Linked DNA regions of Rhinolophus ferrumequinum. The protein of the gene in region 2 purifies or fractionates together with the protein of the main gene of each other region. This does not show direct contact. Links are inferred from orthologs where the notes say so. Each region holds a gene or a part of one and is shown on either strand. Other genes may lie near its edges. The genes, in order: CILK1 and KATNIP.

Region 1 (15,521 bases), on a different chromosome or scaffold from region 2:
TAAGGTTGAAAGGACAACAAATTGACTTGGAAAAAAAAAAAAAAGTTCTGGAAGTACACACTGTTCCCCAATAAAGTCCTCTTCCCCTTCCCCAATAAAATCTTAAAAAAAAAAAAAAAAAAAAAAAAAAAAGACAGCTCTGACTCCAAGAATTAACTTGGACAAATCACTCATTATAACTAATCCATACTTAGCTTCCTAACATATCAAATAAGCCAAAAAAGCAATAATAATAATTTTCGTGCTTACTATGTGTACAGTAGTGTTACAAGTGCTTTGCATATATTAATCCATTTAATCCTCACAATTTTACCGTGGTAGGTACTATTATCATTATCATCACCCCATTTTACAGATAAGGAAACTGAGACACAAATTACTTGTCCACGGTTATACAACTAAGTACTGGGATTGTGATAGGAAGCTGGCTGATTGCACCCAACTCAAGGGAAAGGTTGCAAAAGATCCAAAGATCATGAAATCCTTTGAGGATCTGAGAACGAGAGGAATTAGAGGAAGTACTTTGTAGCTCACATATGGAAACCAGTGACGTGACCATGATCCAGTTGGCCTCATTTTGCAATCAGACATCAGTGAACCCAGTAGGGACCTCACCAGCAGCGGCTGCCGAAGGTGGAGGCAAAGTGAATGCAGACAAAGAGGGGCTGGGTCCCAGTTTCCAGTCGGAACAGACCCCCTGTGACTCAGAGTGTCTCTTGGTCCTCAGGTTTATTTCTGTGAAATCAGGGCATTGGACTTGAAGTGAGGTGGCTTCTTGCTCTAATGCTCTGTGATTCGGTGCCTCTCTGTGTCAGGACTCAAGCTCGCATTTGTTGGAGTAAAAAAATGGATCTCTGCTTCCACTTTTACCGTCACATGCACAGAAGTCAACAAAGAAAAGCTAGTACCCCGAGGGACCAGGTACACTGCACAACTTCTCTCTTTCGGAGAGGGGCAAGTACCCTTTGCCTCAGCCAGGCCCCGAAGTTCAGAATCTACTCCTTTCTCTTCCCTCATAGTCCAGCTCAACCATCACCTCTTCAGAGCCTCCTGCCCCAACCTGCAGACACAGGTAGCGGCTCTCCCCAAGATGCCGCAGCGCCCTGTCCCCACCTCAAAATCCCCACCCCTTCCCTGGTGGTCAGGGACAGGCAGACCTGCCCTCTATATCAGAAAGGGCACTCACCACACTTCCTTCATCTCCGTTCTCAAACCTCACACTCCGCTTGCACACAGCAGTTACTTGAAGACTGTCTGAATGGTCAAAAGTTGAATTTTAGTCTTTGCTATTGGTTATTATTATTATTGTTATCATTTACAATAGGCACTTGATTAGTGATTGAAGTGCAGTTCCAGGTAGGGGGCTCTTTGTTTTTTGTACCACCCTTGATAAGTATCTCAAAACTCTTGGTGCTTCTGTTTCTTCATGTGCAAAGTAATGATAATCAAGTTTTAACCTGACCAGAAATGTTCTGAAGTTCTGAAACGGAAGAACCGTAAATATTATAGAAAGGCTAATGCGGGCGGGTCACTTGGGCTCTCCCACCACAGTGCTGGAATTACTGAGTCTCAGAGACTCACAGAAACGCTCCCTAGATGTCATTGGATCAGGCCTTTGGCCTCTGGGTAAGGCTGTAGCCAACTAACAAAGAAAGACAGTTTTATTTCACTTTTAAAGAGTTCTAGCCAATCTTTAAAATAAATGTGATGGTTTTCCTGGCTAGGTGACACTGGGGAAAACCTCCCTGCGATCTGTCCCAATTCCCTCCCCTTGACTTCAATCCCCAGTGGAGGCAAAAACATCTGCTCGAGGCCAGCAGGTTGTATGGTGTGCCCTGCTCATTCACAGCCTGGGCAGCAGAGCCTGGGCCCACGGACAATGGTAGTTGTTCCTTATTTTGGAACTTTGATGGTCACTGAATAAATGCCACAATTACTCACGTGTTACGATAGGAGACAGAAAATTGGATGCAAACAAGGGCTTCTCTGGGAGTTGCGGTTTACCAGCCCACTGACACCACTCAGACCCTTAGGAGCAGCTTTTTCTCCGTTGCTGTAATTGTTTCACACTGAAAAGATTCCATTACTTTTATCTGTCCTCATAGGAAAACTGGGTTGTGTGCGAAAGCATTCAGTGGTACTTCTGAGTTCCACTTTACATTAACCTCATGTAATTACACATCGTAGGCTAGTTCAAAGGTGTCATAACTTTACAAGGGTAAGTTAACACTGTCGATTTCTCTTTAAAAGGTACTAAAAATAGTACATATGTGTTCATATTTTAGCAGAAATGTCCTGTAAGTATTTTGCCTCTTGGACACATGCTTTTTTCTGCATTGGGGACAGCAGCTACAAGGCCAAACCTTGTTTATGTGGAACTTGGTCTGCGTTTACCTTGACAAAGGAGTGCACTGAAGCTGCTACTGCATCAACTAGCGTGGTGGGAGAAGAACATCAGTTCTCTGGCATGCCCTCTTCCATTGCCCAGACACTGGTCTTATTTCCCTCTCTTCCATCATCCCTAGCTTCTGAGAAAGGTCTACAACTTCCCACGGCTTCTCCTGCAATACCAAAGGAGCTGGTGCCCCGAACCTTAAAAAAGAGTCTTCCATCACTTGCAGATTATTTCTAAACTAGGACCCATCATTCCACGCAGCTTTACGTTTATGGAATGTAAAAAACTGAAGGGAGAGTGAAATGTGAAAGAGCTGGAGGAAGAATAACTTTACCCTGAGTAGTGTGAAAACTGTAGATGAGCTGGGGTGACAGTCCCCCAGCTTAATGAGGGCTGTTGAGGGTGGCAATAGTCCTGGTCCCAGCTGCTTGCCTGACTGCCCCTCCACGTTTTAAGGGTGGGCAAGGTCGGATGAATGAGAACATACTACATATTCAAGTGCTATGCAAATATTACAGCACATTTAACTCAGGAGCTTATCTCACTTAATGTAAGATGATTCACCACCATGTATAACAAGGAACAAATCATTAACACATATCAAGGAAGTAAAGGCTTGTAAAAATAAAATAGAGCAGAGGTCAGCAAACATTTTCTGCGAAGGGCGAGTAAATATTTTAGGCTTTGAGGGCTCTACGTCTCTGTCACAACTACTGAACTCTGCCACTGGCGCACAAAAGCAGTCACAGACGAGATGGAAGTAAATGGGCACGGCTGTGTTCCAGGACAACTCAATTTACAAAAGCAGGCGACCGGCAGGACATGCCTACAGGTCACGGTTTCTTGACCTCAGTTTCTTGAAACAGAGGAAACCCTGCAAATCAGCAGAAACACTTTGGCCGTCTCCACACACCACTCATTTACTTTAGGTTACAGGGTTACGTCTACAAACTGTATTTATCCCTAGAACATGAGCTCTCTGAGAGCGGAAACTTCGTGAGGTTCATACCTGTATCCTCCGCATGTAGATAGATGAGCACCGGCATACAGCTGGAACAAACTGGTGCTCAGTAATGATTTGCTGAATGAATCCATTCACGAATGAGCAGCTTCCAGGTTTGTAAAGGGTAATGTTGACTATAGGTGATTTTCCTGTATCACCTACCCCACTGCCATCCCCTCTACCCACCCCTTCTCTGCAAAATTGAATAACTGTACGGGGACTAGGGCACAAAAATTCTGAATCCTTCTAAAAGCTCTTACACTGAGTTAGAAAAGTAAGCTTTTTAACAGCTAACCTAACGTGTAAGCCTGGACATCTTACTTTTTTCTCAGTCAGTTTTGTTTGAGTTAAATCAATCCTCAATAGATTCACTTTCGAAGCAAAGGCAGTGTCCAAGAGGACAAACCCATTAACTCATGTCTCCTGACAACTCCAAGTTCATGCAGATCTTAACTTTCACGATAGTGTCAAATATGTAGTTGGACATTATACCACGATACTTTATCTTTTGGGTTCTGAGCCATTATCTTGTACAGTAACCACGAGGGCAGTCACATGATTATCACATGATTAGCACTTTATCACAGGGCAAACTATCCCTACAGAAAGGTGAAAAATGACTCACGTGGATCTTGCCACAAAAATATGTGGCTCCTGCATTCTCTTGACCATCGCTATACATTTATCAGGTGGCTACTAAGAGCCCCCAGCATAATGGAAAGAAAGCACCAAATGAAGTAGGAAGCACGACTGTGGCCCTTCCATTTTGAAAAACTGAGTTAGGATGACAAAATTTAGGAAAAATGTAAAGTAAGGTAACGTAGCACCTAATGCTCATTAGTATAGATGGATAGCTAAGTTCATTAGGACCGAAGCTCAACATGGGCACCGCGTAACGTTGAGGAAACTTCAGGCTCTAAAATTAGATTTTTTAATTTTTATTTTTGTAAGGGACCTTAATGATAATCCAACACCCCCACTTTGCAGATGAGATCCAGGGACCCAACTACTAGGAATGGGACCTTTGTTATCTTCAGAGTAGCATATTTGTTAATGTGTGAACATAAGAAACGTTTTAAGAGTCTGTTACAGATGTATCCAATGGTCCCCACACCCCCTTTGTAAAAAGTATATGAATGTATTGCAAATCCTGAACCACATACAGGGAAAAAAAAAAGTGGCAGATCTCGGAACAGTGCTTTCTTCCAACTCAGACAACTTCACAAGTCAGCGCACATCGGATTTGATTCCAGCTGCACAGGCAAGTCTGACCACAAGCACTCTTTCTATGAAGGTTTCGACTTTCAAAGCACAACGCGTCAATGAGCAAGTATGCTTCAGTTTCCTTGGAAAGAAATCAGGAACGGAAGCTTTCCACTAGGACTGAGTATTTTTCAAGGATCTGTTGAGTAGTAATATTTTCCTAATATCAGACAGCTCCTCACTAGGCACAGAGAGACTGAGCGTGTGCCCACCTCAGCCTTCCTTCCCATCTCGAGATGGGCATGCACTGCTTCTTTAAGTTCCTCTTTGGCTGCAAGGAAAGGTATCTCTGATTTCTTCCTGCCACACTTTCTTAGTATTTTAAGGCAATTTGCCCCACGAAATGATTTGCTTCACTAAATTATTTTTATGAGGTAATTATCTAAAACACAGGTATATTCATAAAGAAGTTAAAACTGTGTTTCAAAGGTAAGCACAACCACAACCAAGGGCATAGTAACACTACCACCCTCAGACAATATGTGTGTAAGTTGCCCAGCACACACCTCCCTTCGCGCATTCTCCCAGTCAAACACGTCAACCACAAACACTGAGATCCACACACAGGAGATTTCTGATACTATAGCCAGAGGCCCTTCTCGCCACGTGTGTCAAAGACTGCTGATGAGAGAATTTACAATTAAGTGAGACACTATTCACAGGCTGACAGATCAACATATACAGAAAGGTCACTGTACCCAGATTTCTGCCAAGAAAGCACTAGGCAAGAAGTCCTACCATAAACACAGACCCTCATACATACCCCACAAGCAGGAAAATAGAAGGGCTAGGTGAAACTCCAATTCAGCAGGATCCTGCAAAATGAAATGGAGGAGCTTGAGGCAAGAAAAGCAGTTTAAAAAAAAAAAAAAATTAAAAGGCGGTCGTGTTCCTGGCAAGGTTCAGATGGAAAAACAGCAACAGATCCCAGAAGCAGAGCTCTAGCCAGGAATAACCTAAGCTCAAGCCATTTTAAGTAAGGGCAGGATAACCCTCACTGAGGCTTCACGGCATGACTGACTGCCCATCCTCTGGGCCTCGTGGCTGAGCCGTGACTTGTGGTCTATTACAACAGACATCGACCAAACATTTGCCACACGGTCAGGCCTCTGCGAGTCATGGTCCAGGGACGGGCAGATTTTTGTCAGGCTTATGCCAGGCTCTGTACAGCCAGTAGACCATCTTCACAGCACAACCAGCTGGGGGAGGCATTTCCCCTACGTGACATGTGAGAGGATTAATGCTGGGCAACTCCCACAAGGCCACACGAGTAATACGCGGAGTCAGGCCCTGACCTCAATTCGGCCTGACTCCAAAGCCCAGTGTACCACATCGCCATGCATAAAATATGGCTCCTGCCTAAAGAGGCTTAAAATAGCCTAAACCAATTAGAGATCAATATAGACAGTATAACAAAGGGCTAACAAACAATCTTAAAACTTTAAAGAAAGAAGAGAAATTAGTAGTTAGAGAAGACATTTATGAAAGAAGTAGGACTTGGGCTCCTCCTCGGAGGATGGGTAAGATTTGCACCGCAGAGTAGAATGAAGGGAGGGAGTTTCTAGGGAGAGCAATCTGAGCAGCGACTCCGCAGTGGGACAGCAGGAAGACCAAACGACATTGAGCACAAAGATGTATGATGAACTGAAAGTAGGATTTCCATATGAGGGGTGAGACCTGATTATGAAAGACCTTGAAACATCAGGCACATTTTTTTAGATTTGAGATAGCAGAGAATGGAGAGGAACTGAAGGTGGCAAGGAGAAACATAAAGAAGTGATAGTTTAAAAACATTAGACTGGTGCAGAAGGAATGCAGAAGATTCCAGAAAGAGGAGCATCTCATTCATTCACTCATTCATTCATTCATTCATTCAGCACACATTTACTGAGGACTTACAAAGAGCCAGGCTTGGGACGCTAGCTAAGAGGTTGCTCCAGTCTGCAGGGGAGGAAGGGTGAGGTTCTGGATTAAAATATAGAGGGAGGAATCTATATACATCACATTTCAAAGGTCTTGACTCATAAAGGAGGAAGGAATTGAAGGAAAAGATAAAGATAATTCCAAAGGTTAAAGATTGACATAATTTCCACCTTTACGAGGAACCTCAAAAAGCAATGAGAATAAAACAAACAATGAAAGTATAAAAAGAGCTTTGATGATGTTGAACAATCCAGAAATACCCGCCCCCCCCTCCCTGACAAAGGCCTGTTCTTTATCCTGGTAGCTCATTTACATACAGTCTGTAGGTAGGAAACTTTACTGAGAAAAGACCATTTCTCTGTGACTAAATGATGAGTTCCCTGGGCATGGAAGACAGACTTCTGCCTTCTCGGACAGACTCCATCAACCCTCCATCACCTACAGCTAAACCATCCCTCCATCATCTACAACTAAACCAGTCTTATTTAGAAATGTGACTGCCCATTCCTGCCCAGCCACCAGTTTTGACTTTGGGGAAGAGGGACAAGGCAAAGTGGAGAGGGGAGAAGTAAAAAGTGGGCAGGGTCACTGTAGAGAGCTGAACCTTAGGGAGGGGGCAGTGGTACGGATATCATTTCACATAAAGGATCTCAGCACAGTTCTCATTTCTACAACCACTGCCTAGTATTTTACAATTACTGGTCCTCAAATAGATAAAAAGGCCTTGAAGATTCTTTACCAAACAGCAGCGCTTTCATTGTTTTCTCAAAGTATTTCAAATGTGCATATTGATGCATACATGAACTCCTAGCAAAGCTAGCATATAGTTGAGACACAAATTCTTAATCATTTGTATGTTGACTACACAAATTTAAAGTTCATTTTAATTTTATTTCCCGCAATAATAATTCACTATGGGGGCACATCCAGAAAGTCCACTCATTGGAAAAGGTGAGAAATGAAAACTGTAGCTATTAAACTTCTATTACTACAAAGAGTGCTCTAGGCCAAAATTAAAACACACACACACACCACAACTGCCAATACTTGAGAGAAATCTAGCCCTGTGTGCAAAATTCAGGATGGTATTCTCAGCACAGTCGAGCTTTAGCAAAAGCAGATCTTTATTTAGTTTTAAGTGGAAATGAACAGTGTTTTATACAGAATGATGCATTAAACTACTTTTATATTTAAAAGTAAAAGCCCTCAATGTTAGTGTCCAAGTCAGCTTTAAAAGCTGCATAAAAAAAGAAACTCTTGTTCTGGAAAATCCTTCAACATCCCTCTCACAACATGTTCTCAGATTAGTAAGAAAGAAATCAGAGCAGAAAGAAACCCCAGTGAAAAATGGTTGCACATAAATGTGTGAGGATTCTTGCTCAGAGCCCTTGCGGGACAGCCAAAGGCCTAGTCAGGAAAATTCCAAGAGCAAGTCCTCCACGTTCTACTAAAGGGGCTTCATATCGGGTACGAATCTTTCCCCTCTTTAACACTAAAAGGTAAACACCCATCAAAATCTTCCAGACTCCGAGGAAAAGGGAGTTTTCATGACAAGAGGGAGAGACCCACATGACCGTAAAGAGAAACTACAACCCATTAACCTCTCCCTCCCCTCTCCGATCCTCCACTGCTCCACGGGACAGGGGTCCTTCCGTAGCTTCAGTCCAGCACCCCGAGTGACATGTCGCCCGACAGAAGCCCCTAAATCCCTGACCCCACTTACTGGCGAGGTGAACACAGGCGGGGGCCCGCTCCTGCGGTGAGCGCAGCTCCTCGGCAAGTGGGGCGCAGCAGCCCGCTCGGGAACGGGGAATGGGGACGATCCCTGCTAGGAGAAGCCGAGGCGTCCGTGCAGGGACGCCCGGGAGGTCCGGCGAGTCGCACCGGCCGCGCAGCGCATGGTAGAGCAGCAGGAACCCGGCCGCTCTCCAGCCTCCAGCAGGAAAACAAACAAAAGGCAGGGAGGCTTCTAGTGGGGACGACTGGCCGCTTTCCCTGGGAAAAGTTACCCTGCAGCTCCCCTCGCTGGCCCTGCGCGTCCCTGCACCGCGTGCAGGCCTCCGGAGGCGCGGAGCTGGGGCGCGGAGCAGTTGCGCTCCGGTCTGGGCTAGACGCCTGACTGAGCCCAGGGAAGCCTGCGGCCAGCTGACCATGAACGCGATCTCTGCTCCAAACGCACGCCTTATTGCATGCAGATCGGCTGCACCAAGTATCAGGATTTAGAAACGGTAGCCGTGGATGTACGTTCTAGGGACATTTCATTACAGGTAATCATGGTGAAAACATTTTTCCTGGTTTGAAAAAAATGTAACAGATTTCAAGACATCGTGAGGGAAATCAATGCCACTGAATTGTACACTCAAAATTGTTAAGATGGCAAATTGTATTACATGTATTTTACCACAAAAATGTTTAAAATAAAGACGCAATTGACTGCCTGTTAGCATTCATTTGAACTTTAAGAGTTTTTATATTGTTAGCAACTTTAGTTTGAAAGACCGGATTGTTATCCAGGTAGGAAACAGACTAGATATGCTCTACACAACAGTTGTCTTCTATAACTAGTTATATGAAATCTAACACTTAACACTTTTTAAGCACATTCACTGTGTCATAAATTATATTGTAGACATTACCTTAAATCATCTATATAATGACTGGCTCTGAAGGGCTTTGAAAAAGAAATTGCGTTAAGGTCCTTGATTTAAATTTACATAATTGCCCCAAACCAATGGTTCTCAAACTTTAGTTGGAGGCATCAGATGATGTATTATAAAAATGCACGCTTGAAACCTATATACTTTTACTAACCAATGTCACCCCATATATTTAATAAAAATTTTAAATACACACACACACACACACACACACACACACACACACACACACACACACACACACACACACCCCAGATTGCTCTGCTGCTGCTGCTGGTAAGGGAAACCACATTGCCCTAAGCAACACAATTTTATTTAATAAAGCAGTAACCTTTTTATACACTGTGGATCTTTCTTTGAGTTTAAATTCCCCAGCCACCATATCAATTTTCTCTCACTATTTTTATGTCTGAATTCTAAGAATTGAAGACAGTTTTTCCTAAAAAATCTATACAAAAGGCCTGAATGCCTCTCTCCCCTTGCTCCTGCTGAAGAAACCTGCAAGATACAATAGAGTGGAGCTTTCTTAGACTTCCTGTCCTAAATGGGAAAGGATCACCTGGCAACTTGGCAAATGTATAACATTTATCTACCTTTGTGCTTACCTGTACAACACAAAAACCCTGTGGAAAATGAAAAGTGAATGTCATTATTAATGAAAAGTTAGGAAGACGTATCTTACGTTACTACCATGAAAAATGATTTTTAGAGTATCTCAAATTATCAGCTTTCATCAAATTCAGTTGTCCAAGCAAGTCTACCTAGCAAATAGAGGGACTATCTTTGTCTACTTGAACGGATTCGCTGGGTTAGTAAATGGCTTAGGTCAGTAGTTCTAGCCTGGAGAAAAATCACAACCCTATAAATATAATATGATGAAATAACACAGTCCTGTAAAGAGGTCTAGTGGATACTAATCTAATATAGAAAATTAGTAGCTATGAAACCTAATAGCGTTTTAATAAAATGTGTGCTCAGTTTATCATTACGAATACTAATTATTACTTTATTAAACTTTATTGTTTATTTGCTAGATTAACAGAAACCATTGTGCTAATTAACCAAGATATCTTAAATTAGCATTCAACACCTTTAACGAATAGAGTAGTTCCCAAAATGTTTTAATACCTCAGTCTTCATTTGCAAAACTGATCTTCTGTATTCATCATTCACATATATAATTTTCTTCTATTTTAAGTTTTTACATCTAATCCTCCAGATTTAAATTTCAAAATCTTTTTAAAGAGAACATTGGGAGGAAAATCATCCTTAAAAGACCTCAACCCTAGAGTCTCTTTTAAAAACTATTAAATTTTTGGCCTCCGTTAAACATAAAGGTACTTTTTATAGGTAGCTGATTTAGGGTGCAACTAAAATCACACTCATCCGAAGGTGGATCCTAATATTGAGGCAGCAGTTGGGCTTCCATATTGTAGCTCACCGTTCCGTCCCCGCCGCCCGCCCCCTTTTTGCCTCTATTTTTCTGCCGAAGATGTACCGCATTTCTAAGATCTCCAGAATAAAACAATATTTAAGAGATTTAAATTCTGTTAATTCGCTGAAAGTAGGGTCTTAGAATCCTGATGACCATTAGTACCTGGTACCTAGTAGAAACTAGAAACTCCAAAAAATGTTTGCTGAATGACGTATGTAAGTGGCTATAAGACTATAGGCTTTCATAGAGCTTGCAAAATTCCGTATTTAAAACAATGTAAAGTGTGGGAAAATAACATATTGCCTGATAAATAAGAGCGCCTTCCGGGGACGTGAAATTAGGTATCTGCGCTTTAAAAGGTGGGGCAAGTACCTTGTGTAAGTTCCGGCGCTCCACGCGGAACAGCAGACTACAAATCCCAGAGTGTCTCCCCGGCGCTGTCTGGGCAGGACTCGGGTTTCAAGGCCGTGTAGCCTCTACGTCCTTACCCCATTGCATGATGGGATTTGTAGTGCGATTCCTTGCGATCGCTGAGTTTCCTTTCCCCTTGCTGCTCTCCTAAATGCATCTTTTCCTCAAACCCCAGACCCGTGCTTTTAAAAAGTTTAATCGTTATAACAGCCTGTGACTGTAGGCGAGTTTCACTGTTTCCCTGCATTCCTGGCGTGGACTACAGCTAGAGTCGCCCAGGAGCGTGCAGCGAGCGTAGTTTGATGCTCATAAGGGCTGGTCGCTTTAGGGTCTCAACTCTTAATTTGAGTTACAGACATTTTTGAGTTGACGCTTTTTCAAGTTTGCATAAGTGTTCATTGAGCCGAATAAGTGGGTTGGGTTTGGGGTGCGGCCAATTGGTGACATCATGCCTCGGCACACAGTAGGCCCACGCCCGCTCTCCTTCTACTAGGCAGCAAGCGCCCGGCGGTGGAACGGCGCCGCGGACGCAGGCGGCGGCGGCACTGCGCACGCTCGGTGCGCCGGCGCAGGTTTCCGCAGCAGAGGGGTAGATCTGCAGCGGCGTCCGGGGTCTCCAGCAGGGACGACGCTTTGGTTGTCACACAGGCTTCGGCTTCGGCTGGCAACGGGCGTCCCTCCGCTCTCCGTGTCCCGTGCCCCCGCTCCAGCGCGCCCCGATCTGGCCGCCTGCCCCGCGAAGATGGCTGCCGTACGCCGGGCCCGCAGTTACTGCCGCTGCCTGGTGCGCTTCTCCGACCGAGAACTCTACTAAGCCCGGCTGCAGCAGACAGGCAGGAGTAAACGCTCAGACACCCAGCACACCTCCTCGGGGGGCGGTGCAGAGAGGGCGCAGAGAGCCCTTCGACCGCGGCCGCCCGGCCCGCCAGCATGGTAACCTGAGGAGGGGGCAGGGGATTAGGCGATGCGGGGGTGCAGTGTGCAGGAGGTGCCGGGCCTGGGGGAAAGCCCCAGGGGAGCCAGAAGAGGCTGAGAAGCGGGAGCTGCACGGCCGCTACCCATCAGGACCTCTGGCCTGAGAGGGAGTGGAGTGGGTGCCCGCCTTGACCGCTCTCTGGGGTTTTTTGGTTGCTGAACCCCTCAGCCGGGATTCGATGTGCAGAGAGCGGGTTTGCAGGACGGCCGAGAAAAATGCCTCTTCGCGGCTCGCTAAAGACATTGAACCAGTCTCGCCCCTCTTGAGGGATTTTATCAAAGGCAGTGAGCATAGATGGAGGTGAGCCGTCGCAGCCTCTGAAACCCGGAGGGGGCCTGGGCATGCGGAGACACTTGTTGATTGCGCCTCCTCTGGAAAGCCGTGCCCACAAAAGGCGATTCGGGCCCGTTTCGGAGGCCGTGAGTTTAGGACGCACCTGACCCGTGACGCCAGTCCCCTGGGTAGGATATTGGCAGGCGGTGCTGGCGGCCTGGGGTTAGAAGGATTGTGTCTCACCCCACAGCAGTGAGGGCCGGAGAAGCGTCAGTGCGGTCCAAATGGAGAGTCTGAGCTAAACTCCAGAGATTGGCAACGCAAATTGCATAGGACTGTGGCATGCTGGAATACGTAGTCTGCCCTGTGCTGCCTTTCTGTGGCTTTGGATAAATTGTCCATCCGAGAAACTATCTCTGGAGAGGGTTGCATGAATCAAGGGTAAAATGATACCAAACTAATTAGCTTATAGTACACGCTCACGTATTTATTGGTTAAATGAATAGCTGAATGAATTTATTAATCCGGAGGATAGGAGAAGCAGTAATTGACTATCCCCTAAACTTCCAAAAGTAGTTCTCTGACCAGGGTTAAGCACCTAACTTTTTATATTTCGTTAACCCCATAAGTAAAACAGGAGTAAAATGAAGACATGAGCTACTCAAGTGAAGGGTGAGGTTTAGGTCAAACTTAAATAGGAAAAATAAAGTGAAAAACTCTGGCTGACAGCCGAGTACCTACTTATTTCAGGTGGTATTTGAGTTGAAAATTGTAGTAAAACCCCAAATTCGATAGTTTCTTGTTTTTATCATACTGTCAAAATCAAAGTAGTAATGGATTAGAACTCTTACTGTAACACAGGAGATCAGGGAAGAAGAAAGATGCTGTCTGTACTATAGGTTTCCTGTTTCCTTTCCTCATTTTTGAGACACGCATCATATATCCATGTGGCATTTTATTTGTTAGTTCAACCAATTTTTTTGAGCACCTATTATCAACCTGGCATAGTGCTAGACCCTGGTACGATACTAAATAAATCTTCAATATAACCAGATCTGTCAGGTAATTTGTGGTAAAGTTAATCATAGAATGTCACATATGGAAAAGGACCTTAAAGGTCACCAAATCCAACACCGTCTCTTTACAGATGAGACAGCTGAGGCCTGGGCAGACATTTACAGTGAATCAAGCAATGTATTTGGCCTTCTAAGGTTACAGAGATGACTGAGATGTGATCCCTGTTCCCACCCAGTGCACTAACTAGCAAAGAAACAAAAATAATCAAAATACCAGTTTTAAGTGCTGTGATACAAGCACAAGTGTAATGGGAAAACAGGAGGCAATTAAAACAATCAGAAAATGCTTCCTACGGGGATGATTCCTGAACTGAATCTTGAAGGTTGAGTAGAAAGAAGTAGCCGAGTGAGGAAGAAGCAGTCATTCCGGATGGAGAGAGCAAGCAGCATATGAGCACGGAACTGCAGTGAGCAGGGCTCTTGAAGTCAGTTTAGAATGACCACTAGGCAAGAGGTAAAGGCTGTGACTAAGAGGGTACCCTAGAGAACTCAGATCTCCTCCTATTCGCTGTACTTAGAGTTCACAGTAATAAAGCGGACTCTTATTTGAGAGAGAGAGAAACACACTTCTCAATGGGATCTATAAATTCAAATTCCTTATTGTGTATTTTCTTGTTAGTGATGTTCTTAGTAGAGAAAGCTCCCAGCTTAAAGACTCAAAAAAAGAAAAGTATCTGACAATAATAGGTGAATGCTTACATTTTCCAGTTTTCTGGAAGTTCCTATGAGTCTCAGCCTCTCCCAGTGATTTCTTTGCTGATTTAGCTTTTACAGTGGGCCAAGCACTTTACCATATACTAACTAGTCCAAGTCTTCAAGGCACCTCTGCTTTAAGTCTGGTCGCCAGAGATAAGATAGGAAATGAGGCTTGTTTATGTTGCACTGTAAAGTAGTGTAAGTATATAGGGTTACTGTATTCCAATATATGTGTTAATACAAACATTTTTTTCCTGGAAACAAATTACAACTAAAATTGGCTATTGTGAAACTATCTTTGGAACGAGTTAAATTAAATAGGTTTTATTATTTTTGTTTCTAACTAACCTTCAAAGTCATTTCTCTGACTGCCACATTTCTTTATGGAACTGAACACTTTAAGTGTTGAGCAAGTCCCATTTGCTAATAAGTCTATTAGCTAACAGACTGAACTTACGCGGTATTTCATCTTCACTGGAAGGTAGGGTTCAGTTTAATTTAGCAAATATTTATTGAGAGCAAAAGGGTAAAATGAAAGGAAACTGACCTGAGATCTCTATTAAGCTCCAAGCCAGGCATAGTAATTCCATCCCAGCTTTATTCCATTTTAAGTTCATCTATTAAAATGTTGATTTATAAAACACAGAAAATAGAAGGGGCTTCTTTACAAAAACATTCACTTTATATGTCTTTATGAGCTTTCCTAGTATATTTAAAATAGTAATAAACAAAATTCATATTCACATATTAATATGCCAGTGTGTAAAAGAAGGGATATCCATATATGGATTATACATGGTCTTTTAAGTGATCCATGAAACAAAAATTATTTGCTGAACTCTATACCACAACTAAATGTTATTTTCTGAAGCAAAGTTGTTCTTTTCAACCACTTTAAACTAGAGCCCAGTGAAGTGGTTTATTCTACAGTATTAAAAAATTATAAAGTGTCAGATTTTTCTGATTGGAATCATTAAACTTACTGTGAAGAAGGTATCTAGAGAGAAACAACTATATATTTCATTGGGTAAGTAGCTGAATAGGAGATGCAGTTTTCAGAGGGAAACTGATGTTTGTATATTCCTGATCATTATTTTTGTTCTTTTTCCCTCAGGCAGAAGCTGAGGAAGATTGTCATTCTGATACTATCAGAGTAGGAGATGATGATGAAAACGAAAGCCCTGCTGAAACAGATCTGCAGGCATGTTTCTTCATTGTGTTTTTAATTCTTATTCCATCGTTTTGCATACATAAGCAAAAATTGGTCATAATTGTGAGGATTTATAGGTTCTTATTTGCATTGAATTTAACTGTATTTTTATACTCACCTATGGAATACTGAAATTATAACTATGTTATGGATTTCTTTTTCTATAAAAAGATATATCAATAATTGCTGCTATGTAGTTCAGT
Region 2 (15,521 bases):
GTGCTTTCATTAAAAGACCCATGAAAGCCGTGTTAAGTGTGCCGAGTCTAGGGTAACCAAATTTAAAAAATGAACAGTGGAATCAAATATCACATAGCGTGGTTAGATATTGAAGTGAAGCTACATCGAATGAAAATCAGGTATAATCACAATTATCCCAGACGTGTCTTTAAATTATAGGCACTCGACAGCTGGGAGATGTAAAAGCCAAGCGTTTGCTGCTCTGGCCACCTTTGCCCTGGAGTAGTGGAGGCCAAGGTCAGATTAGAAAGGAATAAGAAAGGACTTCTCTCTCTTTCTCCCTCTCGTGCTCTCCCTTCCTGGCCAAGGGGGTCTGGCTCACGTGGATGGTCAGTTAGTTACTTGCTGGTAAGCTGATGAGCGCAGGATGTGGCCCCGCGGTTGTGATTAGGTGACAGAGCCAGCGCGTGGCCTCGGAGGGCCTGTGCTCACCTTGGGTCCCCTCGGCGTGCGAGGAGCTTCTGGAGAAGTCAGGGTGGACGGCTTTCCGCGGTGACGTCCTCAGCTCAGAATTGGCCCCGTTGACGTAGACAGAGAAGCCCTGTTCCAAGTGCTCCAGACGCAACTGCATGGGGTCCTTGGTTTTCAAGTGCTTTAATATCCTGGGAGAGAAGTGAGCGTTTGCTCATTATGTGAGCGTGGGAGGCCGCCCACCCGACACGGGAGAGAACTGCTGCTCTGGTTATCAGAGAGGGCGGGGACGGGTCCCCAGCTGTTCCACTACAAACAGCCTCTGAGAAGCCCATTACATACACGGAAAAGCCCCAAGGGGGAGACGGCTTCCGGCCCTGCCGGGGTGTTTCTGCTTTCGTTCATTGGGGGCTCAAACACACGTTGGCAAAACTGAAGGCATACATCCTACCTAACAAGGTGGTGGCTGTGACTGAGAGCAGGCACGTGCACACACTGCGTCACACAGCCTGGACCTCCTGGGACGGTCCCAATGGCCATTTCTACTGTGTGTGGATGACGGCACTTTGTTCAACGTGTGAGACAACGTGGGTTCACATCACACACCCACCGATCAGAAAACACCCTTCGGCAGGCCAGGCTGACTGCTCTTTTGCTTCAGCAAATAAATGTGCTCTCAAACACTTACCCTTGTTATTGCAAATGTCACCATTGTAAATTTTGACACAGTTAAAACTGTATCAATGCCGGCCTTTGTTCAAGATTCAACACGTGGTTGTCACTCTCCATGGCTAAACGGGTCTGGGCATGGTGAGGTCTCCAGTCAGCTGTCTAAAGCCCGGCCTCACCCCTCGGCCTGGCTCCTCCCCCCAATGCCATAAATGGGGTGCCGTGTCCTCTTCGGCCAAACACTTTGGTGACGTTACCGACCCCTTTTGCACCCCCATGTCAGCTCGATTTATTTCGGCACAAGAAGAAATACAGACAACCAACCAATAACATGGCAACAAGCGTGCGTCCTCCTCAGGGATCAAATAAGTTCCTAGCCAATGAGCAAGACGTAAATTTAAAAAAATAATACGAATCAGTCCCATAGAGCGTGTGTGCTACGTGCCAGACTGTTACACGCTTTACATCAGTAGGCGAGTCCCATTCTTCTTGCTAGTTACGTTCTACGAAGTTGCCGCACACACCGAATGAGTGAACCGGAACCCCCGCTTCTAGGGGGAAGACCCAGGATTTGGTCCCTGTGTGCCTCTGCTCACCTTTTCAGCAACTGATCAATACATCTCCTCACTTCACGAGCATTTCTGCTGAAAGGCAGTTTGTGTATAATACCGTGTTTCCCCGAGAAGACGACCTCACCGGAAAATAAGCCCTAGCATGATTTTTCAGGATGACATCCCCTGAATGTAAGCCCTAATGCGTCTTTGGAGCAAAAGTTAATACAAGACCCGCTCTTCTTTTTGGGGAAACACGGTAATAGAGAGCTGATTTGTTAACACTCCCTCATGGCCCACGCGGCATCGTAACTGGCTCCTGAATGAAACTTCTCTCACACGGGTGTGTATTTTCTCTGTGGGGACCTCACCGCCCCCTCCCACTTAGCACCACTAAACAGCACTTCAACGAGGCCGGGGGCCGGTGGACACGGCCGACTCACCAACAAAAAGCACACGACTGTGGGAAGCATGGCCCTCAGTACACCGGACGCAGGACCTTGTTCGCAGGTGAGAGCTGAAGGCAGAGCTGCCCAACTCCACACCTCAGCTGAGAACACGTGCCTGCGTCGGGCAACTAACCCTTTGTGCCACTCCGCCATGTCTTTGAACGACTGTGAAAGTACTACAAGCATTGATTTTGGGGTTACAAATAAATTTTAGAGAGTAGACGAATTCATAAATACAGAATCTGTGAATAATGAGGATTGACATGAATCGCCACAGCCACCTAGGGGGCCATTACATGTATTATCCTCATTTAATAGATAAGGAAACTGAGGCACAGAGAGGTTAAGTAACTTGCCTAAGGTCACACAGCTACCACGGTGGCGGGGTTACGATGCAAACTTAAGCACTTTGGCTCCAGAGTCTTCACCACCAAGAAGACAGCTTCTCAGGCTGGCGAGCTGACGTTGAAACAGACAAACATTAGACGACACTGGTAACTGACATAACCTTCTGAGAAGTGATACGAAAATATAGAAAAGGCCGTATGCTTGGTCTTTGCCCAGTAAGTACATTCCTGATCAGAAGCAATGGTCAGCATTCAATCAGAACCAAACCCTGAAAGCAACTCAAATGTCCCACAGCAGGAAAGTGGAACCTGGGACCTCACGCAGCTGTTGGAATGATGAAGAATCTGTCCAAATGCAGGGTGTTCTTAGGATCTGTTCAGTGTGTGAGTGGCGGGGAGAAGGCAGAATAAAAACGGTACATACGTGGGAAGCGCAAAGTGGGAAAAAAAGAGTGTGTCCGTGGACCCAGAGTGGAAGGTGATAAACGTAAACATTAAATCCGTTGTTCAGGTAGGGTGGCGTTATGGGGATTTCTGTTTGCTTTTAAAAACGTTTCCCGAGCTGCTGCACGATCCATCTTTTTAACCAGCGTGGCAGAAACATTCATTACAGACTGTTTATCTCTTGCCAGCCCTGGAAAACCTAGGAGATGCCAGGTTGTGGGGCAACTGCGGGGCAACAGCATAAAACAGAAGGAAACACATGTAACTAAGAGACAGTTTCCAAACACAGCACTCGCCACACTCACTGGAGCAAACAGTTAGGGCTCCGGGGACGCCCGCAGTGTCCTGGGACACACCAGCAGGGAGCCCAGGCCCTGGGAAGCCCCGACTCGGGTGGGCAGGGCTGTGGGGGCGGAAAATCCGACCACTAGGCAGGAGGGGCCTGCCTCCACTTCCCTCCAGACGCTGCCCGTTCCCTGATGCTACCTTACCAACTGTGGTGGTCTCCTGGTCCCCAGGACCCGGGGCTGGCCCTCCACGTGGGCCTCTCCTTCAGCAGGATGATTTATGACAGTGTGGATTTATGAAGCTGATAAATGAGGAGATAATTATTCAAACTGTGAAAGGACCCACTAAAGGAACGCCTCTGCGGCAGCCGAGCTCATCAGTCAGGATCGTGTGGCGTCAAAAGAAAAGTGGGGTTTGTGTAACTGATGGCCTGCTTTGCATAAAAAGCTGCCCCGGTGAAGGGGATTCAGAGGAGTCAGATTCGGTCCCTGCCCCATCAAAGAAGGAAGCCCCGCCCCTGACGCCTGGGCTCTCTATTCTCTCACGGGTTGTGCTTGTTTCCTACCACGTCTCACACGGCAGCCTACAGGTCAGCGTCTGTGTCTGTTCAGTCTCCTTCCCACCCAGCAGAATCCGAGCCCTGGGCCCGGGGACCGTGCTGAGTGCCAGGAACGGGGAGCAATGCACTCAGAACCTAGTTCTGGAACAAGTGGCCCCGAGGAACTCCAGGTCCAGTGGGGAGAGGAGACATGGCCGTGCATCCGAATACAGCCTCCGTGGGCTGAACGCACAGCGCAGCCATCGTGTCCGCTTTATCCGTGCTGACCTTTGCATCCCTTGTACGGAGAGCTCTTTGGTGGAAGTGGAAGCACCAGGAGGGAGAGCACAGGTCATCACGAGGGAGTGACGGGGACAGGACATGCCTGACAGGTGGGTGGTCAGGGCACAAGCAGGGTCCCAGGTGGCGAGAGGATTCAGCCCAGCTCAGCGGGCAGGCAACGTGCTGCTCGTGGACCTAGTGGCAGTGGGTTCTGGGCGGAACTGTCTGGGTCTCTGAGCGCGGAAGTTGCTATGTGACCGGGGTCCAGCCACGTGGCTCCCCCGGACCTCAGTTACTCAAAGGCTCAACTGAGGGGTTCTCTAAGGGCCAGGCATTCGAGGAGGATCCGGCTGGCAGCTCAGAGAGAAGGCGTTTCACATTGAAATGACAACGGTGATGAGGAAGCCCCCGCACCGGGGTGGTGGCCTCACGAAGGCCCTGCAGGTGCCTTGTCAGGCTGAGTCCTTCCCGGCCCTGGGATTGAGATGAACTTGACCAAGGCTGGCCCAGGAAGCAGCCAGATTTAAAGTCAGGTCCACAAGGCCCTGCAGCCTGTCTCCCAGCCACCGGCTCCGCTGTTTCTGTTTCCTCATCAGGAGTCTCGCCACAGGGGCTCTGAGCAGCGAGGGCGCCCAGGCAGAGCGGTGGCTCCAAGCTGGGGGCGTCTGGGAGGTGGTGGCATTTGAGTCCAGCCTCAAAGTGTGGAGGAACCCAGAGCAGTGGTGCAAAAAGCCTGCTGCTCCTCCCGGAACCTGGGTGGCCCGCAGGCTCTGGTATTTGTCCTCTAGGATGTCACCACCCAAGGCCTTGCCATATCCCCCTCCGTGTGACCTGGGGCACGTCCCTAGGTTTCCTCTTCTTCACACTGAGACCGCAAACACCTCCACGTGTCTGAACTGCTACGGGGATGGAAACAGGGGACCAGGCTGAAACCCCACCTCATGGATCCGCCCCGTGCAGGATCGCCCGTGCATGCTGGTTCCCCTTTTCCTTCTTTCTGCCTCAATCTCCTCTTGAGGCAGTGGGTTTGCCTGTCAGGTGGGCATGTTTTCCTGTAAGTTTCCCTCAAGTGACCTTTTCCAAAACACAAAAACACCACTGGATCTGGCCTCGCAGCCGCCATCGAGAGTCTGTACAGCCCCCCTGGGCCGTTAGCTCCTCACCTCCCAGCCCGCTGGTCACACTGCTTGCTCTTCCCTGAGTTCTGCTGGGCGTGGTTCCGTCTTTCAGGAAGTTGAGTGACCAGAATCACTCAGCGTCCTCGGGGAGGGTCTGTGCGCGGTGAGCTGGGCACCACCTCTTCGACCCTCCCCTGGGCCTTTCCTGGAGCCCGTGATCCCTTTCTGCTTCTTCCGGCTCCATTACAGGTGGCCTGGTGCTCAGCTGGGAGGGAAGGGCGGTTCCTCCAGGCAAGGGGTGTGCGGCGGACACCTGTTCTTTCTGCCCACCCGGCACCCCTCCCCCCACCTCCCAAACGCAGCCCTGCCTGTGGATCCCCTTTGGGTGCTGCTCCACTCCTTCCTTCTCATTCCCCGTGGTTTAGGTGAGGCTCACTCCACCCCCAGCTTAACTGGGCAGCCAAGGAGAGGCCAGTGAGACCTGCCACCTCACCGACACGGGGAGACGGGCTTAGGGGTGAGATTGGGGCCCCAGTCAGGTCCATGGGCGTCCTTCTCAGCACTCCTGCTGGAACCCTGAGGGCAGAAGTGCTCTCCTCCCCTCGAGGTGGGACGTAGGTGTGGGGGTGGCCAGTGGCCGCTTTGGCCTCCGAGAGGGAAATGCCCTACGATGACTCCAACACGGGGAAACAGAGCTGAGAGACGGAGAACAATTGATTCTGCGGACGTAACTTGAGAGCCTGGATCCAGCTATGCCTGAAGCCAGACTGTCATCCTGGATTTCTCAATTTCGTGAGCCAGTAAGTTTCCTTGTTGCCTAAGGACCATTGACCATGGGTTTCCATCCCTCCCAGCATAGGAGCAGAAAGTAAGATAGTCTGCGTTCCCCCATCACAGTGTTCTCCCCACACTGGTGGGAATCTGGGCTCTGAGCAAGTACTCAGTGAACTCCTCCTGGATGAATCCAAGAGCAGTGTCACTCAGCCTCTTGGGGCCGCTGTATTGTGGACTGACTCCCCTGAGAACGCGCCCAGTGACTGCACCGCCCTTCTTTTTTTGTGTGTGTGGTTTTTTTTTTTTTCTGGTTTTTTTTTTATTTTATTTTTTTCTTTTCTTTCTTCTTGCACAGCCCTTCTGAGGTCACCAGGCACCCCCGGGGAGCAGCCGGGTTTTCATCGCCCTCTCGGCCCAGTGGGAAGCTCAGCGGCTGGTGTTCCATTGGGTCCTATAACTGGATTTCCAAGCAAACCGCAGTTGATTCCCACAAAGCCCCTCCGCAGTGAACTTGGAGCCACTGGCGACCCTGGCAGGTTTCTCTCCTCTTGATTATTTATGACCATGTCGAGCAAAGTCTACATGAGAAAGTAGACTTTCTTGACCTTGGGCACACAGCTCTCTCTCTGGGTCTCCACGTCCTTGTACGTAAAACAGGGCAGCCACTGTGTCTGCCTCGTCGGGTCGTGTGCAGATAAAACGAGATGACAGGACGAGGTGCCTGGCGCGTGGCTGGCCCTCCAGAAAAGGTGCCTTGGAACCAACAGCCGACGATAGCTCAGCGGCACCCTCTCTGCATGTGTCTCCATTTGGAGCTGTTTCTTTCCAGCTCTACCTTCTAATTTCCTGTCGTCCAGCCAGCTCCCTCTCGGTGACAACACATCCCCCATATTTTATGGCAGCTCAGTTTTGATACATTTTTTTAGCTGCCTTTGTGCTGCCACCTCGTCGCCGTATATTCTCCTCCGCGCTGTCGGCTGGTGCCTCTTTGATTGCACACTTATTGATCCCCGATTAATGAGAAGCCATTTGCTCATCTGACACTCTCCTCCCAGACACGTCACGTGGATTTGATGAGACGATCACACAGGGGTTCGGGGACCCCCGTCCAGCTTGCCAGGAACTGAGTAAAAACAGCCTGCTCTGTGGCATCCACGACGATTAAAAAGCCACGTTTGAGTTAACTGGCCTTCAGCTAGTGTAGTTGCCGCTCGCCCCTGGGTCGGAAGGAGTTGGGCACAGACGGAGTGCCTGGCATTTCTGGCTGGTGCTGGAGAGATTTCTGTTCAGATGTCCCCACTGCGAGAGGTACGGCCTCACCAGGGGCACCTGGAAATGCGGCGAGGGTGTTGTCATGGAGACTGGGGGGCATAACGGAATTAGTAAAGTGGCCGGTGGGTGGGAACACTAATCCTACAACACAGGGGACTATCTTGCACCTAAAAACTTGTCCCATGCCACAGGCCGCGGGAGCCCCAAGTGACAGGTCCTGGTTGTCAGAGAAGGGCAGAGTCCATATTCAGGATGATGACCCCAGACTCTGTCACCTGCAAGACCCCAAGCTAATTCCCTAACACAAAGGCCCAAATTAGCACGCCATCCTTCCGCCTCCTGCAGGTCTGTCTGAGAGGCCTACGGCGTTCGTCCGTTTGTTTCGCACTTTCATTTGCATTCATTACCAACATTTTATTAAAGCACAGGCGGTTGTCACGACTCAAACCCACAAACCCAGATCTCCAGCTTGTCTCCTAGTCTTGGGAGGATATGGACCCCTGGGCCTGTGTTCCCACCAACAAGTGGCCTGAGCCCCAGCAGCTTGGAAGCGAGAATTCCAGGCCCCCAACTGTCCTCACCCACTGAGTGGGCTTCACTCACTGCCCGGCCCCTCCTAGCATCCGACTTTGCAGACCGGGCTTACTGCAAGGTGCCAGGCCTGCAAATAAGCCACAGCAAACCGGAAATGAACTTGGACAGCCCTCCAGACTTCTTTCAAACCAGACCGCACTGCTTTGACCTTATTCACTAACCACTGCCATCTACCGCAGGCTTTTTCAAGAACCGGCACTCCCGAGTCAAAATCCGCACTAACATCACCTTAGATGATGACGTAGGGACCAACTTCAAACACAAATGGACAATGGCACCACCTTTCCATAACAAGGCGTGATTACAGGCTCTGATTTCAAAGGACGGGAGCAGCCTGGAAGATCACAGCACGGGCTCTTCAGGCGGCCAATGCACAGGCCCTGCCAAGGTCTGGCTTTTCGGGACAAACCTACCTTCTCCCAGAACGGAAGCAGGGAGGCAAGAGGCGGCACTTACACGTCGAATAGTTTGCTACAGCTCCATCAAAAGATGCCGTGACATGAGTGAATGGGGAAATAAGAGCCGGCATTGCAGAGAATACGCCGAGCCTGTGTGTGGAGGTAACGGCATCCCTTCGCTACGTGAACAGAGTCTGCGTGCTGCTAATACATCCACACAGGGTTTTTACTTGGCTAACAGGAGGGGCTGCCGGCAAGCGGCTTCGTCCTTACCGGTTCCTCTGCTGAAGCAATATTAAATACTCATCATGTTTCTCATCAAAGTCTGGCACATGTCCTTTAGTGAGACCCTGAAATGAAGAAACAGAGCGGTGTGATATCAGAAAGCAGGAAAGCACGTCCTGAGGCCGGGGGGGCAGTACACACTCTCTGCACAGGTGGCCGCGAGGCGGGGCGGACCTTGACGCAAGCCGGCTCCCTGGACGCGTCCCTCTGGCGACCCAGAGCCCCAGAGGCTGGCTGCCTGATGGCCCAATGGGGCGCCTCACCACAACTAACGACGTACGAAAATCGAGATCATTTCTCCTGTTTGTTTCTCCCAGGCCCCATAAAATCAAGGGCTCGGCCAGGATTTGGGCTTTCTCTTTTCTCCAGGCTCCTGATTGACTTATCTCAATTGTCCTAACCGAAGGCGTCCCAAATCAGTTGTTTTAGGAGGGGATCACGTTTTTCTCTTGCCAACACACGAGAAAAATGTATGCTTGCTATCAACAACTCCGTCATTACACAAATACATGACTCAGAGAATGAAGGTCCCTCCAGAGCAGACATTTGGGGTTTTGGCCCCAGACTGGGTTTGCTCTGAGCAACCGCTCGGCCCCTTCTTTCAGTGAACTGGCTTCCTGAGATGCCCTTGAAGGTTCCTTCGTTATCCTCTTGGGTCACAGGACTTTGGCCTTGGCCTTGCCAACCAACACAGCGCTGCACTGCTTCCCTGGTCTGGGTTGAGCCCTAGAAAGTCAGCCCTGGGCTAGGCTGACACTCCCGGGAAAAAGCTGCTCTCTTTCCACCGCGGTGCTGAGCTGATGAGACGCAAGCCTGGAACCGCGTGAGAATGAAGTTGATGAGAAGACAGGGGATCCGAGAGAGGGAGAGAGATTCTACGGACGTGAGCTTGAGCCCCTACACCTACCCACGCCTGAAGAAGTTTCTGGACCACTTCGTGACTGCTTTACAAGTTTCAGCTGAGTGTCTCTTCATTTTCAGTCCAAAGAATTACGTCATCTACCACAATCTGACAATATGTTTTTTTACAGCTTTATGGAGGGAAAATTAATGAAGCTACACATATTGAAAGTGACATATGTATATACAGTAACCCCCCATTATAATTTGATATATAGTCCTCCAGATGGTTTTCTTTATTTTATACGTAAAATACACACAAACACACATTCTTTTAAACAAAGTAGAATCCCACAGAAACACTGCTTCACAATTTTCTATGCTCCTTATTTATTTATTATTTTGCCAAGGAATAGACTAAAGAGACCATGTCAGCTTGGTTCTAGTCACAAGTTACAGGGATTAAGTTTTAAAGGGCAAGTGAGACATTTGTGACAGAAATGCAGTTTGGATGAATTATCCTGGGGAGAAGAAGAAACAAAAATCTCCATCGCTCTCTTCTTGTCAAAATCCGGCTTCAACCCCACTATTCCCTCCAGAACCCTATCCAAGGGTGACCCAAACCCCCTTAACCAAATAGGATAGCTCTTCCCTTCTTCCTCCTGTTCCTTTGCTCTGGGCTCTGGGCAACTGCTGACCGGCCGGCCGACCACCCATCGCTGCCCACACTCCCGTCCTCCAGCTTCTGCAGCCCTGGACCAGCTTCCCTTCCCTCGCAGCTTTCTGCCTGGGCCTCTCGGGCTACCCTTCCTCCCTCGGCCTCGGAGGTGGGTGGTAATTGCTTGTCCATCTCAACCTGTCCGGGTCCCTCTCCTTCTGCCGTCACTTCTCTTTCTGATTACAAGGAAAGGGGCCCCTGGCTGGGGAACCCACCGAGTTACTCCTCGTCCAGGGCTGCGGAGAGCTGGTTGCAGGACACTGGGTGAGGGGAAGAGTCTCAGTTCCTTCTAGAATAACAGCACATGTATGAGGACAATTTAAGCATGCCCCTCCACATACGTGATTCTCCTTCGATCTTCCCCGCCGTCCTTGAAGTGATCATTACCCACCCCACCCCCCACTTAAGACACAAGCACAGCCATCCCATGCATATTCCACGAACGGGATCCTATTCCAAGGCAATTCACGTAACCATTTGAAACATGCAAATGACCACTGATATATGTTACAGTACAGAACGACACATTCGATGGACATTTTTTGATGAGAACTAGGAGAACGTCAAAGAGCTCAGCCGTGGTGGGCTGCCCTGGGCTTTCACCCCAACCCTTCCAGAACATTCATTCGCCCTTGCCAGGACGAAGAGGTCATCAGAAAGACGTGAAGAGCACAGGCCTACCTCCAGCCCAAGTCTTCAGCAGCCTGTGCTTCTCAACGCTAAGCGTGCACACAAATCACCTGGAGGTGGTGCTGAAAGGCAGGCCCTGATGCAGCAGGGCTTGCAGACGGAGCGTTCCAGCAAGCTCCCAGACGGGGCTGGTGGGACACGAGTTGAGTAGCCGGGCCTCTCCTCACTCCCCACCATTCACCACGCACCCACCTCTGACGGGACGTCACTGAGCCTGAGCGGGGAGGACACGCACTAGCTCCAATGCAAGTCCTAGCACTGCCATCAGTTTCCTCAACTGTGACACAGAGGTCATGACGGCACCGTCCGGGAGGATTTTCCTTTCTCTCATAGGAGGCAGTGACGGTGGAAAGGGATTAGCACAGTTACCTGGCACCGAGGAAAGCTTGCAATGAACGGTACACGTACGTCACAGACTTGCGTCATTTTAAATCGCACCATCTCCCAGGCTCCCCCCGGCACATGCCTTCCTCGTGGTATTCCCTTTTCCACAATTCATTCCGTCTCCCCCGCAGCCTCCAACCCAATCCTCCCCAAGGCCCGTTCAGTTCCCAAAGTCTCTCTCCCCGTGACAGTCTCACCCGCATTCACTTTTCAGCTCATTTTGAAACCCTGAAATTAGTATTAAATTAACATACAATACAGTGTGGCAGAGTGTATGATTAAGTGATAAATTGTTAGCATTTAACTATGTATATTGCTCACTAACTACCTGGGGATTTGGAGACTTGAGGGGGTGAGCCTTGAGCTTTGTTTCCTACCTTCTCTGAGCCTCAGTTTCCTCATCTGTAAAAAGGGGACATTAGTAAGGTCTGCCTCACAGGGCTGCTCTAAGGAGTAATTAGGAGAAAAGCGGAAGTCATTTAGGGTCCTTTCTTTCTTGTTCTCCTTTATAATCCTAGCCGGATCATAAATTCCTAGGGGGGCAGACCATGGGAAGCCGGGGGGAATACGGAAGGGGGAGGCCTGGTCCTGGGCTCATCTTAGCTTTACCACATCCAGCTGTGACGACAGCTGCTACAGCTGCCTAAGCACCAGCTCAGCCCACGCTCACCCCAGCCTGGTCAGACACCAGACACTGCTCCTCCCAGCACAGCACACTTCCCTTCACTGAGGCTTTATTTGTCAGGCTGTGAAATGGGCACATTAACCATAAAGCACCCCACAAGGGTGTGAGAACCTTGTCAAGTGCCAAGTTTATCATCACTGTTTTTCAGCAAACATTATCAAGTGCTTACTGGGTTGGCTGTTACATGTGCAATGATGGTCTAACAAGCTCGGCCCCCGTATATATTCAGATATCAACTTGCCTAGAGGCCGAACTGGACCACCAGTGAGGGGCAGCTGTGCAGGACTCGGCCCCTTTCATGTTGCGTGTGGTGTGAATGACACCCCGTGCCGCTGTGCAAACCAGTCAAGCAAACACACACTGGCCGGGGTCCGCAAGGTCGGGGTGGCTTGCTGGGAGCTCTGGGAACACTCATCTGTCCATAACTTTCGTCAAGTCACCAAAAGCATCCAAGACAACAAACAGGAGACAAATGACCATCAAAAATATATAAACTATGAAGCGACGGATCCGAATGAGGAAACTCGAAGCCTTGCTCACTCCCCCCTCCACATCCATCCAACCCATCAGCTCCAGGTGGAAACTACCAGACCCCCCGGCCTCGGACCACTTCTCCCCCACCTGCCCCCACCCCCTGGCTCAGGCCCCCTCGCTGGCCTCCTGCTTTTGCCCTCACCCTGCCGTGTGCTGTCCCTGCTATAGCCAGGGGGTCCAGATAAAAGGCAGGTGCATCATGTCTTCTGCACAGGTCTCTGTGGCCACCAGGCCTTGCACACAGACCCCAAGCCCGTCTCCGAGCCGCTCCCACCACCCACTGCGGCCCCGTCGACACCCAGCAGGCTCCCCGCTCAGGGGCCTGACTTTTCATTGCTTCTGCCTGGAACGCTCGGCCCCCAGGTCAGTACCCAGATTCCTCGTCTCCTCCGAGGCTTGCCTCAGAACTGACCTCAGGGAGGCCCTCCCCGGCTGCCCCATGTAAAACTGCAAGCTGTGCACACACACACACCAATCCCTCACTAATATAATACCTACTTTATCTTATTTATGATGCCTCTTATTTATGGCGCTGTCCCCTGCACTAGAATGGAAATTCCATGCAGGCAGGACTGTATCCGTTTTGATCACTTGTGTTTTCCCAGACCCTAAGACAGTACATGCACACAGTGGATATATTACCCGATATTGACGGAGTAAAATACACAGAGAGATAGACAGAGAGAGAGAGGGGTAGACAGACAGGCATTTGAGCTGAGATTTTCAAGTTGGAACATATTCTGGGGCAACAAGAAAAGGGACAAGCATTTCAAGCAGAAAGCAGCAGCATGGGCAAAGGTGTGGGGTTTTGACTAGGGCGACAGGTGCTGAGGAGGGCGAGTTAAGTTGGCAAAGGGCCTAAGGAGGGTGGACGTGACACAGAAGCAGAGCCTCAGCGCCACTTTTCATTGCTGTAGTTCTTGTCATCTTACCCCTAACGCTGGCCCAGAGACGGTGTAAATTTTATCACTGAGCACATCATTAATGGTCTCTGGGGGAAGAAAATGGCATTGGAAAGACACGCCAAGAGTCACTTGTGTTTCAAAGGCACGCGGCCCAGGCCGTATTCCAGGGATTCCGCTTTCCCGAGGCCAGAATCCTGGGAGTCTCCTAAACCGGGCTGAGTGAGGGCGCGCCGGAGCCCAGGCCGCGTCCGCGCCGCTCAGAGGGCCCTGTCGGTTTCCAGGGCCTGCGATGAATGTCCAATGGCAGCTGTCAGGCCCCCGCAGAGAAGCCCAATAACTTCGAATGGTTTCCTAACGGGGCTGGGAACCACAGTGGGTCTGGGAGCAGCGCAGAGTGCACAGAGCACGTCCACACACCTGAGTTACTCCCCGGCCCCCGAGGGTCACATTTTAACCGAGGGACGGTGTATGAGCTCTGAGCAGGCGCTCCAGGTCCCTGGGCCCGCTCTTCCGGCCGCCTTAGCTGCCATTTATCATGCTTTCTGTGGCTGCCTATTGTGGGATCAAAATAATGCTAAGCTCTGGGGTCAGTAGCCCCATTTTAAAGAGGTGGAAACAGGCTTTGAAAGCTGAAGCAAATTGCCAGCAGGCCGCAATTTTTCTTGGGGCAACCCCTCTCCTCCACGCTCCATCTGTGTGGTGGGGGTGGACATAATACTGCCAGCGCCACCAGAGAGGGCATGTGGACCTCGGCCTGGCCAATCAGGGCATTGCGTCTCCTGGACATGCAACTGGTTCAGGGCTATGCGTGGCCCCAGAGGAAGGCCAGCAGACTCAGCTCAGGGATTGGCTGAACCTGCGGGAAAAGTCCCGACCTCGCTTCCCCTGGAATGATTAGCTGACCTGCGCCGAGAGCTACAAAGGTGACCACAGCGGAAGTCATTTCTATCAAGGGATGATTGACATCCGTCTATGTCCCATGGAGACGTGTGTCCAAGGAGCAACACCAACACAGAGGCAGGCAGCAGAACCGAGGACAGAGAGAGAGAGAGCAGACAGAAAGCAGACCCTCTTAAATTAACCGTGTTTAACCCCTGCATCCAGCCATGCTTGAAGCCAGTGCCATCTTGGGCTCTTAAGTCACAAGAGCTAATACATTTGTTTCTTTACTCAAGCCGGTTTGAAGTGTGTGTGTGTGTGTGTGTGTGTGAGAGAGAGAGAGAGACACACAGCTGAGGGAGTTCTCGGTGGTACACTCGTAGAACTACTACTCAGGGGTGTCGGACTGCAAAGTCTGTGCCATATCCTAGGGCTCAGGGCAGTGTTTAGTAGACGACTAAGATGATACCTAATGAACATTCTCAGTGAGGGCCCTACACCCACAGTGACAGACGTTCCAAACGGATCTTACAGTATAAAACTCCTACTCACCCTTCAAAACCTGCCCCCAAATGCCAAAGCTCCCGTTGTACTCAGAGATTCTGTTCTTCGTGTCTCAGTGCTGTGTTCTAAGTCTTTAATGTATATTAGCTGAATGAAAAAGTATAATTCTGAGCTTACTTTTCACTGCTTTTGCTGACGTACCAGATGTACTCCCATCCTCAGGACACAAACCACAAACACTCTACAGCCAGTACGCCTGCACTGCAAACAGAAGCCAAGCAATGAAGACCTAAAGCAATGGCTGACACCACCCCTTAGAGGTAGAATGAAACAACACAGAACACTGCAGCAGAGATTTCAGTTTCTCAGGCCCTGGGTAGACGTGGTAACCAAGCCGCATACTAGGCACATAGCAGATGGGTAAGCCAAGGACACACCTTACACTTATGTTTATTACTATGCCTCCCTGCTATGGACCAAGACACACCCTGAGACGTTATATTTTGTTTCAGGATTTGTAGGATATCGATACAGATCCAAAATCTAGGATTTCCTCCTGGACTCCAGGATTCCATATGCTGCATCTTTATGAAAAAGTTTTTCTTACATAGTGTCATGCAGGGACTCTGGTCCTGCTCCCCACATAAGAAGACAGAATACGGTGAGGCCAAAAAGGAACACCCACGGAGCCACAGATAGGGGAGTCATACCGCTATCGTCTCGCTGGCGGCCGGGTTGGAGACACAGGAAGCAGGAGCTGCAATCTGCCATCCGATTCTCTGCCAACCAACCAACCAACCCAGCCACGGCAGTTATATCGGTGGCTAATGGCTAACCGGTTACAGCTGATGGCCAACTAGTCACAGCTGACGACCCTCTACTACCCGAGCCAGCACCTTTCCACGTGAGGCCGAGAGCCTGGAAACTACATTCTGGGACTC

The links.
Region 1: the proteins of KATNIP (region 2) and CILK1 purify together in Homo sapiens (affinity purification with mass spectrometry; 3 studies listed by BioGRID and IntAct, with this or other methods). This does not show direct contact. The link is inferred for Rhinolophus ferrumequinum from reciprocal best matches to the Homo sapiens genes KATNIP and CILK1.

Annotation. Positions count from the first base shown.
Region 1 is NC_046286.1:20,733,307-20,748,827, forward strand, and holds the start of CILK1 (serine/threonine-protein kinase ICK), read right to left. Parts: upstream 8,617-15,521; 5' UTR 8,308-8,616; intron 5,445-8,307; exon of another isoform or gene 5,425-5,444; intron 5,283-5,424; exon of another isoform or gene 5,168-5,282; intron 1,255-5,167; exon of another isoform or gene 1,187-1,254; intron 1-1,186. Other genes in the region: FBXO9 (F-box only protein 9), read left to right, coding at 12,358-12,363, 15,223-15,309.
Region 2 is NW_022680357.1:1,861,071-1,876,591, forward strand, and holds the start of KATNIP (katanin-interacting protein), read right to left. Parts: upstream 10,132-15,521; coding exon 10,009-10,131; intron 8,507-10,008; coding exon 8,430-8,506; intron 624-8,429; coding exon 454-623; intron 1-453. UniProt on the Homo sapiens protein: May influence the stability of microtubules (MT), possibly through interaction with the MT-severing katanin complex.